Styela clava: one gene and its partner. The protein of the gene in region 1 interacts with the protein of each later gene in a pairwise test. Links are inferred from orthologs where the notes say so. Each region holds a gene or a part of one and is shown in the gene's direction. Other genes may lie near its edges.

Region 1 (7,833 bases):
CTTCAAATAAACCAAACCTTTGTTTGCTTTCTGGTGCTCATTTTAGTATATTTTCGATATTTTTAATGTTATCAGAATTTAGGTTGTAGGCATAGGAACGCAACTAGCAGACTTCATCCCTTGAAATCTTATAAATAAAGACAACAATCTTTATAACTATTTTCAAACAAGTTTTATATTTAGTCTAGTAATCTACACTACAGAGTACAGAATATGTGATTCTACGGATAAAAAAAAACATCTAAGTAACTTTATATCAGTAAAAGATGGGGCAAATTGATTTGTTTATTTGAAGTAATTCATCCAATAATGGTCATCATATTAAACTGTTGTGAGGACAACAGCTCCTATGAATTCCAGGAACATTTACACTAAAGTTTGAGAAATTTGGTAAACGATACCAATTTTCGATTCTTAAATCACAAAAATTTTACACTGATATCAGTCTCCAATCTTGGGAAAACTGTGTGTCTTCAAAAACTTTTGATATTTACAATGCTTCTATTATGATGATAAGTATGATGAGCTTTTTTATTTTTTGTCAGAAATTTTGACTTCATCTCTTACTTTATTAAAGAGTTTAAAATTAAAATACATTTTTGGCTATGACTCCAATATTAAGGAAAACATACCAATCTTCAATTTCACAATCTTGAATCAAATCATATAGATACATATGAATTTCTATTTCAATTAGAAGGCCTAATCTATTAGCCAAAGCATTTACAACAAATCAAAAAAATTAGTTGACTTTGGATAATGTTTCCCAAATATCAACATGATAGCTTTCAATTAATGTCTTACACCGGGGAGGTTTTGTACAGTGGTGTAGAATCGATGATGTCTTCTTCATTCTCTGTTTCATTATCTTGTACATTATGTTGCCTCTCTCGATTTGATGTTGATGGTCCAGCATTTTCTTCCAGATTTATTCTTGTTTCATTTGTTGTACTTTGTCCGAATCTTTCTTTCATACTGTGTGCCATTTTTTTTTTATCTTTTCTTTTATTCCAACTTCAAGAATAGTATGATCAATTATCTGCAGGCCAGGATGATTTCGATCCTTTTGCTGAGGAAGAGTGCATGCAAGTATATGCTCTAGGGCAGTTGTCCCTCGGAGACTGTTGACACATGCAGTAACGAGAATTTCAGGGTTTTCTCCAATATCAAATTTCCTGACACCACATCCTACTTCACGCAGTCCTTCCTCAATTTCATTTTCTTCAGTTACAATGTATGAATTTAGTAATGTTACAAATATATCCCAGAGCTTATTGTCATATGCAAATCTTGCAATTTTTTTTGCTGTTTCATCCCAGTGAGTAAATAAGAGAGTTGAAAATTCCCGTTCGAGCATTGTGCATGCTAATACACATAGGAGAGGTTCCAATGGCTTTAATACTTTTTTTATATCTACTTCATTCTGCATTTGTAGACTCGCTTTTTCATGTACTTCCTCATTGATACTAAACTTACTTAAAAGTTCCTTCAGTGCTTCTTGACTTTTACTTGGCACAGGACCCCCTTCTTCGCTTTTAAGAATTAGAACTTTCAGCGATTCATAATCCTCATTACGGGTCCACATTTTGTTGTAAACTCACTCTACATACTCTGCTGCTCTGATGGTTTTATTGTCTAAACCAATAATAGGAGGAAAGGAGTACTTGTACTTAGAGTCGCAATGAATATATTTCGTTCTTCCATCTTTCATGCTTTTCAGTATAATCTTAGCCGCTTTGAAATATTTTTGATCAGATAAAGCATAGTACAAAATTGATCTGCCATCGTTATCCAATAAATCCAGATTTAGATCTTTCACAAAATTTTCACATTCATCTGTCTCTTCGAATTGATTTATAATGACAACTGTTAAAAAGCCATCTCTGTTTATTTTTGCAATATTCATTAGTTTTTTAGTATGTGGATTAGTAATTTTCAATTTTATATTTTGAAGATATTTCTCTGCAGTGTTTGCTGTTATCTTTCTTTCGCTTAATTTTTGTTCTACTTTTTCCAATATTTTCCAGTCTTCAAGATCGTTCGTGATGGAAAACAATTCAATATTTTTCTTTTTGTCAAGTGTTATGGCATCTGTATAGTGTCTAGCCGATTCTTTCAATGATTCGTCAGAAAACCAGAGTTTAACGATCTCACAAAATTTTCCAGAGCGTCCAAGATTCCCAGAAGCGAATCATAAATGTTATAAAGGGGAATGCTTTCTTTGCATAAGTTCTTAAAATTTGTATATTTTTAAAGTAATTCTCGGGGCTGTCATGTTCAGCATTCCCAGCTGTAGTTTCTTCTATTGTGAGGGGTTCTAGAAAATAGCTGTTTTGGTCAAATCTAGGGACTGCCTTATGTAAATATCTCATTTTGCACATTCCCACTATAACAAACACGAGTTGTAGCATGGTAGATGCTTAAAACCCCACCCAATAAGGAATAAGTTGTTTTGCAGTATTGTGTGAGCAAAAATAAGGTACCGGACTCCCTTCACCAGTCATTTCCAAATAGTCTAATTGAAACGGATTGCAGTGAAATGTGTTGCCATCTTTAGCCAAGAAACATACTAGTAATCCTGATATACCTATTGATAAGACGATAGCGGCAAGAAGAATCCTATTTCTTTTGTAATAAACATGTTTGATAAAAATATCGCATTCATATAAGAGTAATAAGGGCCAAGCCTCTCTCACGATGCAGTCAGACATTCTGGATAAAGGTTCTTCAACAGAGGATTGCAGTTTGTCATTTTCATCGGATAATCCTTCAATTAGCTGTTCTGCTTTTTTGAAAGTGTTGAATGAATTTATAACTCCAGGTATCTGAAGCCAATAGGCAGAAGCAATCAAAACCAGCAAGATGGAAGACAGGCCGAGAAAACCAGAATAAGTCACAAACCATGGTATCTGGTTCATACAATAGTTGTTCATTATAGCAGCATCAAGAGAGGTGCCATTTTGTACCGTCGGAACACATTTTATTTTTATAGTTTGTGTCAAATAAAACATAAAAAGGGTGGTTGCCACACTGCCTGCATAAAAATATCCTCTGATTTTTTCCCACCATGGTTTCATGTTATGTTCAGTAAGCAGATCACCCAAAAGAAAGTCACTGATTCCAAGAATTGACATTTTCAAGATTCAGTAATTCTGCGTATAAATATATTAAAAAAAATTATATGCTGAATCATTTACGTTGACACAAAAGCTTATGACATTTGCCTGAGGTTTATAAAATTTTTCTTATAGGAACGGTCAAAACTATATGGAAGATATTATAAAAAATTGAATATATTATGATTTGAATCTACTCTAACTCTGATGTACATGTTAAGGAAATTAATTTCCATCACTTGGTATTTTGCCACTAAAATTTATTACTGAATCAATCCCGTATTTTTCAGGTAATTATTTAAATACAGTCGAAAAACATTGTAGGAGTTTAGATATTTTCATCTCATTCTCTTAATCCTTGTCATGGGTTTGGATCACAGTTAACTATATTTGTATAACTCTTATATTCATTGCTTTACATCATATTTTTCATCAGTCATACTCAAAATCTCTAAATTTCACCTAAATTTTTTTACAACCCTAATCCTGCTTTTTGAAATAATATCTTTTGTGCTATATTGTTTTTGTGACAAATCGGTAATTATCCTTTCCTCTATGTACAATTAAACATTTGGAATCATGGTATATTCTGCAAGTATAATTTATCTCCATTGCTTTACATACCGGTAGTATTTTTCATCAGTAGTACTCAAAATCTAGTAATTTCAACTAAAATATTTTGCAATCCTAGGACTGCTTTCTAAAATACTTTCATGCATGCTATACTTCAAATCAATTTTAGATTGAGAGTTCTATATTAGGTGCATAGAATATATGTGAGAAAACCTCCTCGATATCAGTCAAGCAATAAAAACGTTTTTGTTGATTGTTATGGACTTCTGATTTCTAAAGAGAACTCTGTTATCAAAATCCTGTGGCTCGGTACACACCTTATATCGCACCCACTTTTTGCATCCATGGTTGAATCGAATATGTGGAAAAAATAACTCAATATCAATCAAGCGAAGTAAAAATTTCTGTTGAATGTCATTGTTTTTTGATTTCTGAAGAGTACTCTATTATCATAATTCTCAACTCGGGTCACATAAAAATGACCTAAAACCTGCGTCGCACCCACTTTTTGCATCGTTGATTTAAGCGCTAAATTCCATTTCAAAATTCCTTCTTGTTTTTATATAAAAATGGTTACATTTCTAAAACACAGGTTATAATATTTACTGAAAACGATCACCACTATTATAATGTACAAATTTTTTGATATTGAATCAATTTTGATACCACTCACACTTTGTACATTTAATTGTGAACGCCCAATGTTATTTGTATCTTTTTGTTGTTTTCAAGAAGAGTAGCAAATATAAATTGGGACTGTTTTCTAATAATAACATTTTATCTTATTTTTAAACAAGGATGTGGACAATTGTTCACGATAGCTGGGAGTTGAAAAATTTTCTTCATTGTTCTGGCATAGTCCACCGGTTATGGTTTTACTTGGGTTGTGTTTTGAGATTATTTGTGTGTTTGCATTAAACAAGGCTTCAAATGAAGAGCCACTTTTTCACATGTTATCATTTTTTCCATCACAGTGCTCTGGTGGTAATTCTGACTGGTAACTGGTAATATTTAATGTGCAATGTTGTATGTTTTCTCTCCTTCAGAATGAATGTGAATTTCCATCTTATTTGATGTCACACAACCAGCAAAATTTTAATATTTTTACTTTTTGCTTTTCAGGGGGTGCTCACACTATGTAATATAGGATAATATTTATATTCCAAATTAGAATTCTTTTCTTGAAGTCTGATTTTAAGTAAAATGTCCAACACATTAGAAAATGAATCTGAAGTTTTACGAGAAGTACCCGATGCTTTGCAGAGACTTATCAGGTTAATATTACTTAACTTTTTCAATTATCAGTTGCGTTACACAAGAATATCTACTTTTTCTTACGCTATACCTTTGCGTAAGTGGATTCATAATGCAAAGCTGCTCTGGAGTCTTGCTGTACACTAACACGAATGTAAAAATGTTACATTTGTGTTAGTCTACATCTAGACTCATGGAATTCAAACTATTTTCAAGTGTGGAAAAGTGGGACACATTATTTATTTCTCAGAGCTATACCTTCAGCTTCATGATCTTATATATTTTGTCTTCAGATATGTTGCAAGAGGATTCTATGGACTTGAACACGGCCTAGTTATCGACGTACTTGTTCGAAACGCATGTGTGAAGGAAGATGACATCCAAGTTGGTCATGTTTTTTACGAGTTACATACTTTTGTTTTTAATTAATCCTATATAGAAAGAATATAGATGTAAGGACTAGAGACTTTCTAATTTCATGAGGTCCAGTTTTTTTTTTACTCTTACGGAAGAGGGGGGGAGTGGGTTCAAACTTGCCACTTTCGACCCGTCAGTGTATTTGTGAAGGTATTCTGAACAATAATGATGATTCATCGAAAGTTGAGCCATCAGCATTCATCAATAGAAAAAAAGATTGTTTTTATGGCAACTCAATTTGGCACTCTCATATATAGGCTAATCCTTTTGTCCTTATTGATAAATTTTTCGGATTTTCATTAGTTGCACACTTGATTGGTCAAAATATACTAAGTAGTGCATAAATCGTTATATATTCCATTAATGTGATATTTGTGTCGGTGAACAAAGTTTTTTTGGGCTTTTTACTGACAACTCTGAATTTTACAATTAGAAATTTTTTTTTTAGATTTTAGATTAAGCTATCGGGGTCATCAAAATTTGTATACTGTGTTTGAAAAGTGATTATTTTTCTTTCAGGAACTTTTGAAAATGGACAAGAAACAACTACGAGCAATGTTGGTTTTTCTGAAGAATGATAAAATTTTGAAAGCAAGACTTTGCGTTGAAACTCAAGTAAAGATGATAAATAGCAATCTTGTTATTATAGGTTAAAGTGTGATATAGTGAGATTATATACCTTTCCATAGTAGGTAACTTAAAAATCATTTGCTTAGAATATATCGCGTAGAGCAGTGCTTAACAACGTGCGCAATATTGCTTCTTATGGGGGAAAAACCTGAAGGGGTGATATCGCATACTTAAAATAGTCCGAATTAACACAAAATCAAAATGAAATTCACAAACCATAGGCAGGATATATTTTTGGCAGTCATTTGACAACCCGCCTACCCAATTTAATACACCCAATGTGAGGTGTTGGGTACGGGATTACACTGAGATCTTGAACCTGTGATGCAGGCATAGTTCATTCATTCCAATGCTTCAGCCTTGGTCAGGGGTCAATGAACGAATGCAAAAAATGGTTGCATTCCACTAAAAAGGATTAAATAATTACACTTATTTTATTATAATTTATGCAGCCGCATCCGGGGATGTTTGAGAACCCAACACTAGGCCATTGTGCAATACAAATCGAGTTAATCATCTAACTGTTGTGTAAACATAAAATTATTTTTGTAAATCTTTGTTTTACAGCCAGATGGGAATGTACTTCGTCACAATTATTATTATATAAATTATAGAAGCATTTGCAACATTATTAAATATAAGGTAAATATTCTCAATTTCATTTATTTTAGATTACTTTATGTGTTATTATACATGTTATTTCAGACTAGCAAAAGTATCATTATGTAATTTTTAGCAAGTGAATTGTTTCTTTCTGGTCTTTTCGTTGAAAATTTTTTTTAATATAATGTTAAATATGTGTTGGTACTAAGACTGAAGTACTAAGACTAAGGGATTTGACGAAAAGGGAGGCGATATTTACTTTTTTGAAAAAACGGGGAGCTAATATAGTGTTTCTGCAAGAGACTCACTGTTCTGGTAAAATTGAAAATGAATCATGGTCAAAAGAGTGGGGTAGTCAATGTTTATGGACTGAATATTCCAATACCTGCAATGGGGTAGGGATCTTGATCTTGATTTCTTCAAATTTAGATATATCTTTAGGCAATATAGATATAGATGAAAATGGCCAATATATTATATGTTCATTTGAATACGATAGTTTTTTAACAATAGTAGTGAACGTTTATGCTCCAAACCTTGATTCTCAAAGGGTCAAGTTGTTCAAACTTATATATGAAAAACTAGAAACCCTGAAAGCTTCAAATTATGCATACACATGCAATTTTATATGTGGTGGTGATTTTAATTGTATTTTGGAAGATAGGGATAGGGATTCCGTCAAATGTAGAAGAAATAATAATTCCAAAAGTGAAAAAATGCTCCAAAATATTGTTACTAAATTGGATTTGATTGATATTTGGCGTGAAAGGCACTCATCCCTTTTACAATTTTCATTTCATCGCCCAGCAACCAGAAACGGGCAAAAACAATCCAAAAGCAGAATAGACAGATGGTATCTTTCGCGATTATATACTGTCAATGTAGAAAAAGTTGAAATAATTGCAGCAGCATTATCGGATCACTTACCTGTCTTTATGTGGACAGATATAGGCGAGAATATCAAACGTGGGAAAGGTTATTGGAAATTTAATAGCAACTTATTAAATTATGATTTATTTGTCACAGGGGTAGAAGTTATATTAAAGAAATGGCTAAAGCAATTAAATGAAGGACATGAAATTGATGTTCTTAAATTTTGGGAAAATTGTAAAAGAAAAATTAAGGAGTGGTCTATATATAGCGGAGAAAAGTTAGCTAAGGAAAATAGGAATATAGAAAAACAATTAATAAAAACTTATGAAGAAGCATTGTTCAAATATGAGGAAGATCAATACGATAT
Region 2 (7,669 bases), on another chromosome or scaffold:
ATAACAACCAGATCAAACAATGACAAAGTATAATATTGTGATTTGTGAATATTTGACAGAATTCAATAATCACAGATTGCAAAAAATATTTACGAAAAACTCAAACAAAAAGCACTTACGGTAATTCTATTTTATTCTTAACTCAATATTATTAAAAATATTTTTAATTATAATACCTCAAGTGAATAGCAGCTGACACACTGTAGTAGACCTTATAATACATTTTTGGCAATGCATATGACTCGTACACACTAGCATCTGCCAAATCTCTCATTCCTGCGGCATCAACAATGTTTCTGTGAAATGAGAGAAATACAAAAGGTTAATAAATATATGAAGTTTACAATTCAACATGTTTCCATAACAAAATAGAGTAATCGTAGAATGTATGTTTAATAAATTACACCAGTTTTTCGAATACATTATTAATAAATGGATTCATTTCCTATACAAGAGTTTAACAGAGTACTTTAGTACCACAAATTCTTCTAATCCGTGTGGCATAACCATTTATGACTATGTTATCACCAACCCCATCTAACTACGTCATCCAAAAACGTCTGGGCTGACAGTGTCCAACTCACTAACGCCAGTGGCCTCTCTCATATTGGAATCACTATAACGACAAAATGAGAGAGTATCCCTTTGTATACGATGTTGCTTGCTTGATTTCAAGTGATCGTTTGCGTGTTTTGGCCGACTGTCCATATATTATGGCGGACCCTTTTTACTGCACTGTGACATAATTTGTGGATGATATAGTAAGGTGAGGGTTAGAAATGTCATACGCAAATATCGTTAGACTACACCAGGAGTTTGACAAATTAAAAGGCACAGCTATTCTGCTAACTTGCTATGAGTTTAGGTCACTGTCTACAGACAATTGAAAATATACCACATTTTGTTTTTTGCTTATAAAATCAGAATTGCTTCATTTACAATACTCTATATCAGTGTTTCCCAACCCGAGTCCGCGGTCTCAAATGAGTCCGCAGAGCGTTTGAATGAGTCCGCAATGAGCCAAAAATTCACTTCGGGCAGCAAACGTTTTTGCGAAACTCAACTATCAGCCAAGTTACGATTTACGTCAGAATTTACATAAAACAAAAAAAGCAAGTTTATTAACATAACATTAATCGAGTCAATAATTACTGGTTACTGAGTAGGACTGATCATATATTCAAAAATTTGACAACGCGAAGGTCGCCTGCGCGTCGCCTAATCAAACGATCGGATTTCACAACTCCCTTGCGGATTTCCGACAAAAACACGAGAGTGCACAAGCTTCGATAGATATCTAAATGAAGTTTCGCGAGTTCGAATAACGAGGAATAAATTTTTTTTTTCTGATGATAAGATAAGTGTCAATGGTGGCAACCCGAATTTTCTAAATTGAAAATCGGCAATACTAAAAATAAAACGGAGAACACCTTAAATTTTGTTTTATGATGGTCCGCGACCAATTAAAAACGCTTTTTTAAACATTACGAATCGCAAAAGTTCGGGTGCTACCGTAGTATACGTACCAGGGCATTTTCCCTTAGGATTCTTTGCTTTACTGCCTCCACATTGGTACGTACAGTACTGGAGCACCGTAAGTGTTGTACGAACAGCTCAGATTTGTCGAATTTACAAAAATAAGAATCAAAACAAAATATAATCAAGCACTTTACCACGCATTGTCATGATATTTTCTGAGTAGCATTGCTTTTATTTCGACAACAAAACTGCAGATTAAAATGATCACAACTGGATTAATTTTAAAGCAAGACGATGAATATGTATTTTTAATAAGTACTAAATCAAGTTGTACTTTCTGGAAATTTATAGCAGATAGTAGGATTTTTCTAACGACGATAACAAATTCGCAAGCTCGCAAAAAATATAATCGGGCAATATTATATATTCTCACATTATTATAGTCACAGATTGCCCTGCCATTTTAAGGAAGTAATGCTTTCATCTTGTCGTAAGTCGACGCAACCGCGAGTTACCATGAACACAATCAAATTAAAATAGGACATTTTAAATTCACGTCGTTGTGATAGATTGATATTGTGTGACAGAAAAAGCCATTATACACTAAAAAAATCGTCTCTTAACGAACGTGTAATTGCGGCGAATTCCCGATTTTAAAATTCTGTTGTAATTGGTTTTATTGCTTTTTCACACAGAGTACGGTTGCAATAAACGCACAATGAGTCCGCAAAGGTTTTCGCCGGTGAGAAAATAGTCCGCAACCAGAAAAGGTTGGGAAACGCTGCTCTATATGAAAAACAGTCATAGCTCAATAACTTTATTCGTAAATTACAGATGTACGAGTGAATTTACGAAGTTTTCAATTCTGTTGGTATAACGTAACAAGGTCTATTTCACATAATCATGGCACATATTGGTCAAAAGAAGGAGGCTAGTTCACCAAACGCAGTCAAGTACTTCTAGTTGGCGTGACATAACCATCTTCGCATATGTCATTTCTAATTTCACATGACTTTGTCATCCAAAAATTACGTCACTGCAACATTACATTGCCGAAATATGGCCCATCAAAGTATACGAAATGTCGTCCAAAACGTGTGTATCTTCTGTGTATTAATTACTTTTTGAGTGGAATCCAATGGTGACATTTTTAGATTGCGCTTCCTTTTAGTTTATTGCACATTGCCGATATGGAGGCCCAGACTTTCTCATAAAGCATAGGTTGGCAATCACCGTTATAAATGTCTTTAAATGTGGGGGGTATTCTTGGAACCGGAGAACTGTGTCATATTAACTAATGACAAATTGCTGCATTGAAATAGATTTGGGTATCGTTTTCTTTAACGCAAAGGGGGATCCTACATGGAAACAGCCAGATTTCAATAATCGCAGAGCTGAAAAGATCAGATCAGTAAATTAGAGCACAATACCTGATGATGTATTTCTTGATTGCCTTGTCTTTAGGAACACGGGCTCCTGATGATTCGCATCTAACATATTTTACATGCCCTCTGCCTTTTTTGTTACGTCCATTATTTCGCCGTTTCAACGTCATGGTGCTGAGTGTTCTGAAATACATAAACCAATATATACTTTCGCTTGATACGAATATTCTAAAAAATCTAAGCTATCTTTCATTCCACAAAAGATTATTCTTTTAAAATAAACCATCCTGTACTCGATTTTATAACAAACAAAGCAATCCACTAATAAAATAGATCTATTACAACGGATATAATTCACCTTGTCGAAAACCAACCAAATGGCCGAAGTGGTGCTGAAAAGAGGACTTCATTCTATTTTTCTTTGCGCAAATAATTCTCCACAAGATGTCACTCTTACTCCGCGCCAGGTCTAATTTGTTGGATTGAAAGTGAGCGATTGACCAATTCCATAAACAATTCTTGGAACAATTCATTTCCTAGTTGACTAGTAGTAAATCGGTACCGTGCCGACTGCCGAAATTCGCTATCGTTGGCGAATTGAATGTTTGTGTAGTGTAGTCTATAATGCACCATTGTCAGAAGTTGGATACTTTTAGGCAACGACAATTACCGTACCAAATTGACGTTAAATACCGTTTAATATTAATTATATGAACATGATGTATTTTGAGTTGTTGCTAGTGAGTTTTGAATAAAACTTTGATCGACATGATAAATTGTGTCCAGAAATTATGTTCCATTAGTGTGTTAGTACATTGCTCTTTCCACATTCCAACTGAGGTGGAACCCCTTGGAAGTCCCAATGCGGGCTCTCTGGCTATCCGAGAAAAGTGATTTTATTTACATGAAATGTGAGATCCACCGAGTCCTTGAAAAAAATGAGTCAAGATTTTCCCTACATTGTTATCCAGTATTAGACAAACACAGAATTATCAGTTGAAACACAATCACAGCAGAAATATATAACGACTAATTAGATGCACACATAAAAAAATATAGGAATATGATAAAGCCAGTGAAATATTGTTACCAATATTTTAAAGGAATCGTCAAAATGTGTGCCATCAACCTGCTCTGTCTGTCTGTAGTAATTTCAACAAATATAAACACAACATGATTTTTTTAAATGGTTATTTTTTGAGCAGAAAGCAATATGAATGTTTTGAATAACTATTTTAAGAGTAAAATCAATGAATTAAAAAGTTCATTTTTCCACTCTCCAATAAATTCATATCAAAATAAACTAGATTGTGAATAAAACCAAGTAAAATATGAATTCATACAAAATTATTTTGAACAGTTATTGTTGATTTGGACTTTGTTGTATTTGACCTGAGATTGGCTCGTTTCGCACAATTCTGTACCTTATATTTATGTGTCACAGAATTATTAAAATAACTTTATCAAAACATTCTAAAGTTTTATAAATTCTTTGAAAAGATGATTGTTGCGTGCTTTAATATTGGATTTTTATTTACTCGGTTTTGCAAAAAATTTGCACTTGAAAGTACACGACACATTCCTCCTTTAAACCCTTGTATTAATTAATATGGAGTGTTATATGTGATTGCTGGACTGTAGTTTCAGATTATTATTCAAGGATATCACATTGCTGTCTGTATAAGTGATTTTGATTCCTTAAATTAGAAAGTCATTCTAATAATAATATAAATGACTCAATCCTTCTTGTAAGTTGTATTATTGTATATACCACTTCTCTTAAAAATTGTTTGCAATTGTATAAGTTCAAGTGGCCTGTTGTATTTTATATTAATTTTTTTTTAATTTACTGATTTAGAAATATGGATGCTAGTCTTTTACGTCAAAGAGAGGAGTTTAATAAGCGTGCGCTTGCACGACCTGTCATAGAGAAGAGAAAACATCAGAGTGAGGCAGTCAACAATGACACTTCTGCAGCCAGTGCAAAGAAAAAGCCTAAAAAATTACAACGGCCGACGTCAGATAGTAACTCGGTCAAGTCTATATCATCATATAGCAGTAGGGCAGGTATAGGAGGTTCAAAATTCGGAAACCTCGCTCAAATTGTGAACTTTATGAAATCGAGACATCAAGAAGATGATATGTTCCCACTTACGATTGATGAAATATTGGAGGAATGCAAGCTTGAAGATATTATAACGCCAGTACAGAAAAACTGGCTGATAAATGAAGCATTACCAAATAATCCGAAAATACAAGTCGTCGACAATCCGGGCCAGGAACGAAAATACGCTTTCAAACCGAAGTATAACATTCGTGATAAAAAATCACTTCTGAAATTATTGGATAGATATGATCAGCGTGGTCTAGGTGGAATTATGCGTTTCGAAGTAGAAGAAAGTTTACCAAATGCAAAGCGTTGTCTAAAGGCTTTAGGAAATAAAATCATTTATATAACGAGGCCTGATAAAAAGGAAGTTTTGTTTTACAATGATAAAAGCTGTGAGTTTCAAGTCGACGAAGAATTTCAAAAGTTGTGGAGAAGTGTTGCTATTGAATCAATGGATGAAACTAAAATTGAAGAGTACCTTAATCAACAGGGTATGTCTTCTGTACAAGACACAAGGACAAAGCTCAAGCCAGCACAGCCTCGTAAAAGGGCAAATAACAGAAAGCGCAAATTTAAAAGACATAATGATCATATTATAGCTGGTGTTTTAGAAGATTATTCTGAAAAACAGAAATGATATTTTTAATTGATCTATGTATAGGCAATGTATTCTGCAACGACTGTGCTTATTTTTAATAGCAATCGACTAAGATGCAAGCTATATGCAAATCAAATGTAATTTGCTCAAAGTCAATTCAATATAATACCTTTTGCTTGTAGGATTCTATTTGAATAATGTTCGTTTGGAAGTTTTGACAAAATTATGACTAAATTACCATTATACACACTATGAAAAACTGACTGCAGACAAGACTTGAAAACCAGTCAAACCTAATGTTTTTAATATTTTTGATTCTCACTAATCTGTTCAAAAATGTTTCTATCAAAGTTGTTTATGTACTTCATGGATGACTTTAATTACCACATAATTGAACTTTATGATTTTTTTCAGAATGTATTGATTTTTTTTTGCTCCCTAAGGACTAGGTCTGCAGCTTGTAAATTTATCTATTTGTTCTCAGCCTTCTCAAATTGTCTTTCGACTTAATTTGTTTCGACTTGTTGCGAAATGCTTTCTACCTACAAATTTGTGCACCCACCTTACTTTTTATTATCTAAGGCAGTGTTTCCCAACCTATGGGTCACGACCCACGACTGAGTCTCCTGAACATTTTTATGGGTAGCTTGTTTTTTCAACGAAAATCTAAAAGTTACCAATTTTCAATTTCTAGTGAATTTTATTGTTTGTTTTATATTTGTAATTGAAGTGTCGCTCAATAGTAATTGTATACGTGGGAAGTATCACATTGCAAAAACTTTGCAGCATTTGTTTTGTTTAAGTAGAGCTACCCCACGACCTCACTGGGGCAAACTAACGCAGCTTTCTCACTTAGTCATGTTTTTTATTAGTCATTGAATTTTGCGGCCATAAAAGTATTACATGCCAATGAGTATTTGAACATATCCTTGGGTCGCGAGATTTTAGGAAATTAATTTTTTTTAGAAAATTTGGGTTGCTTGAAAAAATGTTGGGAACCACTGATCCAATGTACCAGGTGTTGTTCTAAATTTTGCGCTCACGAACCATTCTTTGTGCATCACTGGCTACACTGATAAGAATATAATCATGCAACACCTCCTTTTTAATTCTTGAAAGAATATAGTACCACCACACTCTTGTATGTATCAATTTAGAAAATTGGCATGATATTTTTTTAATGAATTTCTCATAGTCCTATTACAATTTCAATTTTGGTATGAAGTCATCTCTTTATATATCCTAATCAGGCTTGTTCTATTCTAATAACTGTGTATTCAAGTCTTTGTTTCACCTCATTTTATACACACCTGTGGGCACCAACAAACTACATTTATGGGGTATCGACAAATTAATTTCTTTCTCAATTTAAAATACCGATAATTTAGGACTTTGTTCCTAATATCAGAATGCAAAATATGTTATGGAATTTATATTTCAATATGGAAATGTTCTTGGTTGTACTACACCAAGATTCAAGATTTGTAATTTTATTCTAATTATTCATTTTCCAATAGCTGCCAGGCTCTCTCTATTCTAATATTTGCATACATTGTGTATCCATATCTTTAATTCATTTTTTTCAAGCATTTCTGGTCAGGTATTTACATGAGTCTATTGGGAGTATGAGATGTCGTTTCCTAAATGGAGATAATCATTAGCTTACTTAGTTTAAAAGCAAATTTATGAACTTTGTTGAAAGTTGGATTTATCACCATCATGCCTGGAATGATTGCCTTCAAAAGAAGATGGGGAACGGGAAGCGACGATCTTGTGGTTCCTGGAATGTTACTATTCCTCATGCATCTTATATTGTAAGTCGATATTTACGTTTATTTTTTCGATTTACCGGTATGTGATATAGAAAAAATATCTAAAGACTTAGCAAATAGGAATAATATTTTGGTCGAAATGACGCTGACATATAAAAAAATGCTGGAAATGGGATAGATAATCCCATTTTTCCCAAATATGTATTTATTTTTATTTTTTGCTCTGAAAATACCTTGCGCAATAATCCACTGATATGTAAGGAGTTTCTATAACTGACATTGGCATTGCCTATCCAATTTATTACACCTTTGGGTGTGGGCCATG

The links.
Region 2: the proteins of general transcription factor IIE subunit 1-like (region 1) and general transcription factor IIE subunit 2-like interact in a two-hybrid assay, tested with the Drosophila melanogaster proteins (2 studies listed by BioGRID). The link is inferred for Styela clava from reciprocal best matches to the Drosophila melanogaster genes TfIIEalpha and TfIIEbeta.

What each region holds. Positions count from the first base shown.
Region 1 is NC_135250.1:24,568,068-24,575,900, reverse strand, and holds the start of general transcription factor IIE subunit 1-like, read left to right. Parts: upstream 1-4,811; 5' UTR 4,812-4,892; coding exon 4,893-4,963; intron 4,964-5,236; coding exon 5,237-5,327; intron 5,328-5,879; coding exon 5,880-5,975; intron 5,976-6,557; coding exon 6,558-6,632; intron 6,633-7,833.
Region 2 is NC_135255.1:3,758,502-3,766,170, forward strand, and holds general transcription factor IIE subunit 2-like, read left to right. Parts: upstream 1-4,701; 5' UTR 4,702-4,726; coding exon 4,727-5,611; 3' UTR 5,612-7,159; downstream 7,160-7,669. Other genes in the region: small ribosomal subunit protein eS26-like, read right to left, coding at 177-296, 2,910-3,034; diacylglycerol lipase-alpha-like, read left to right, coding at 7,292-7,386.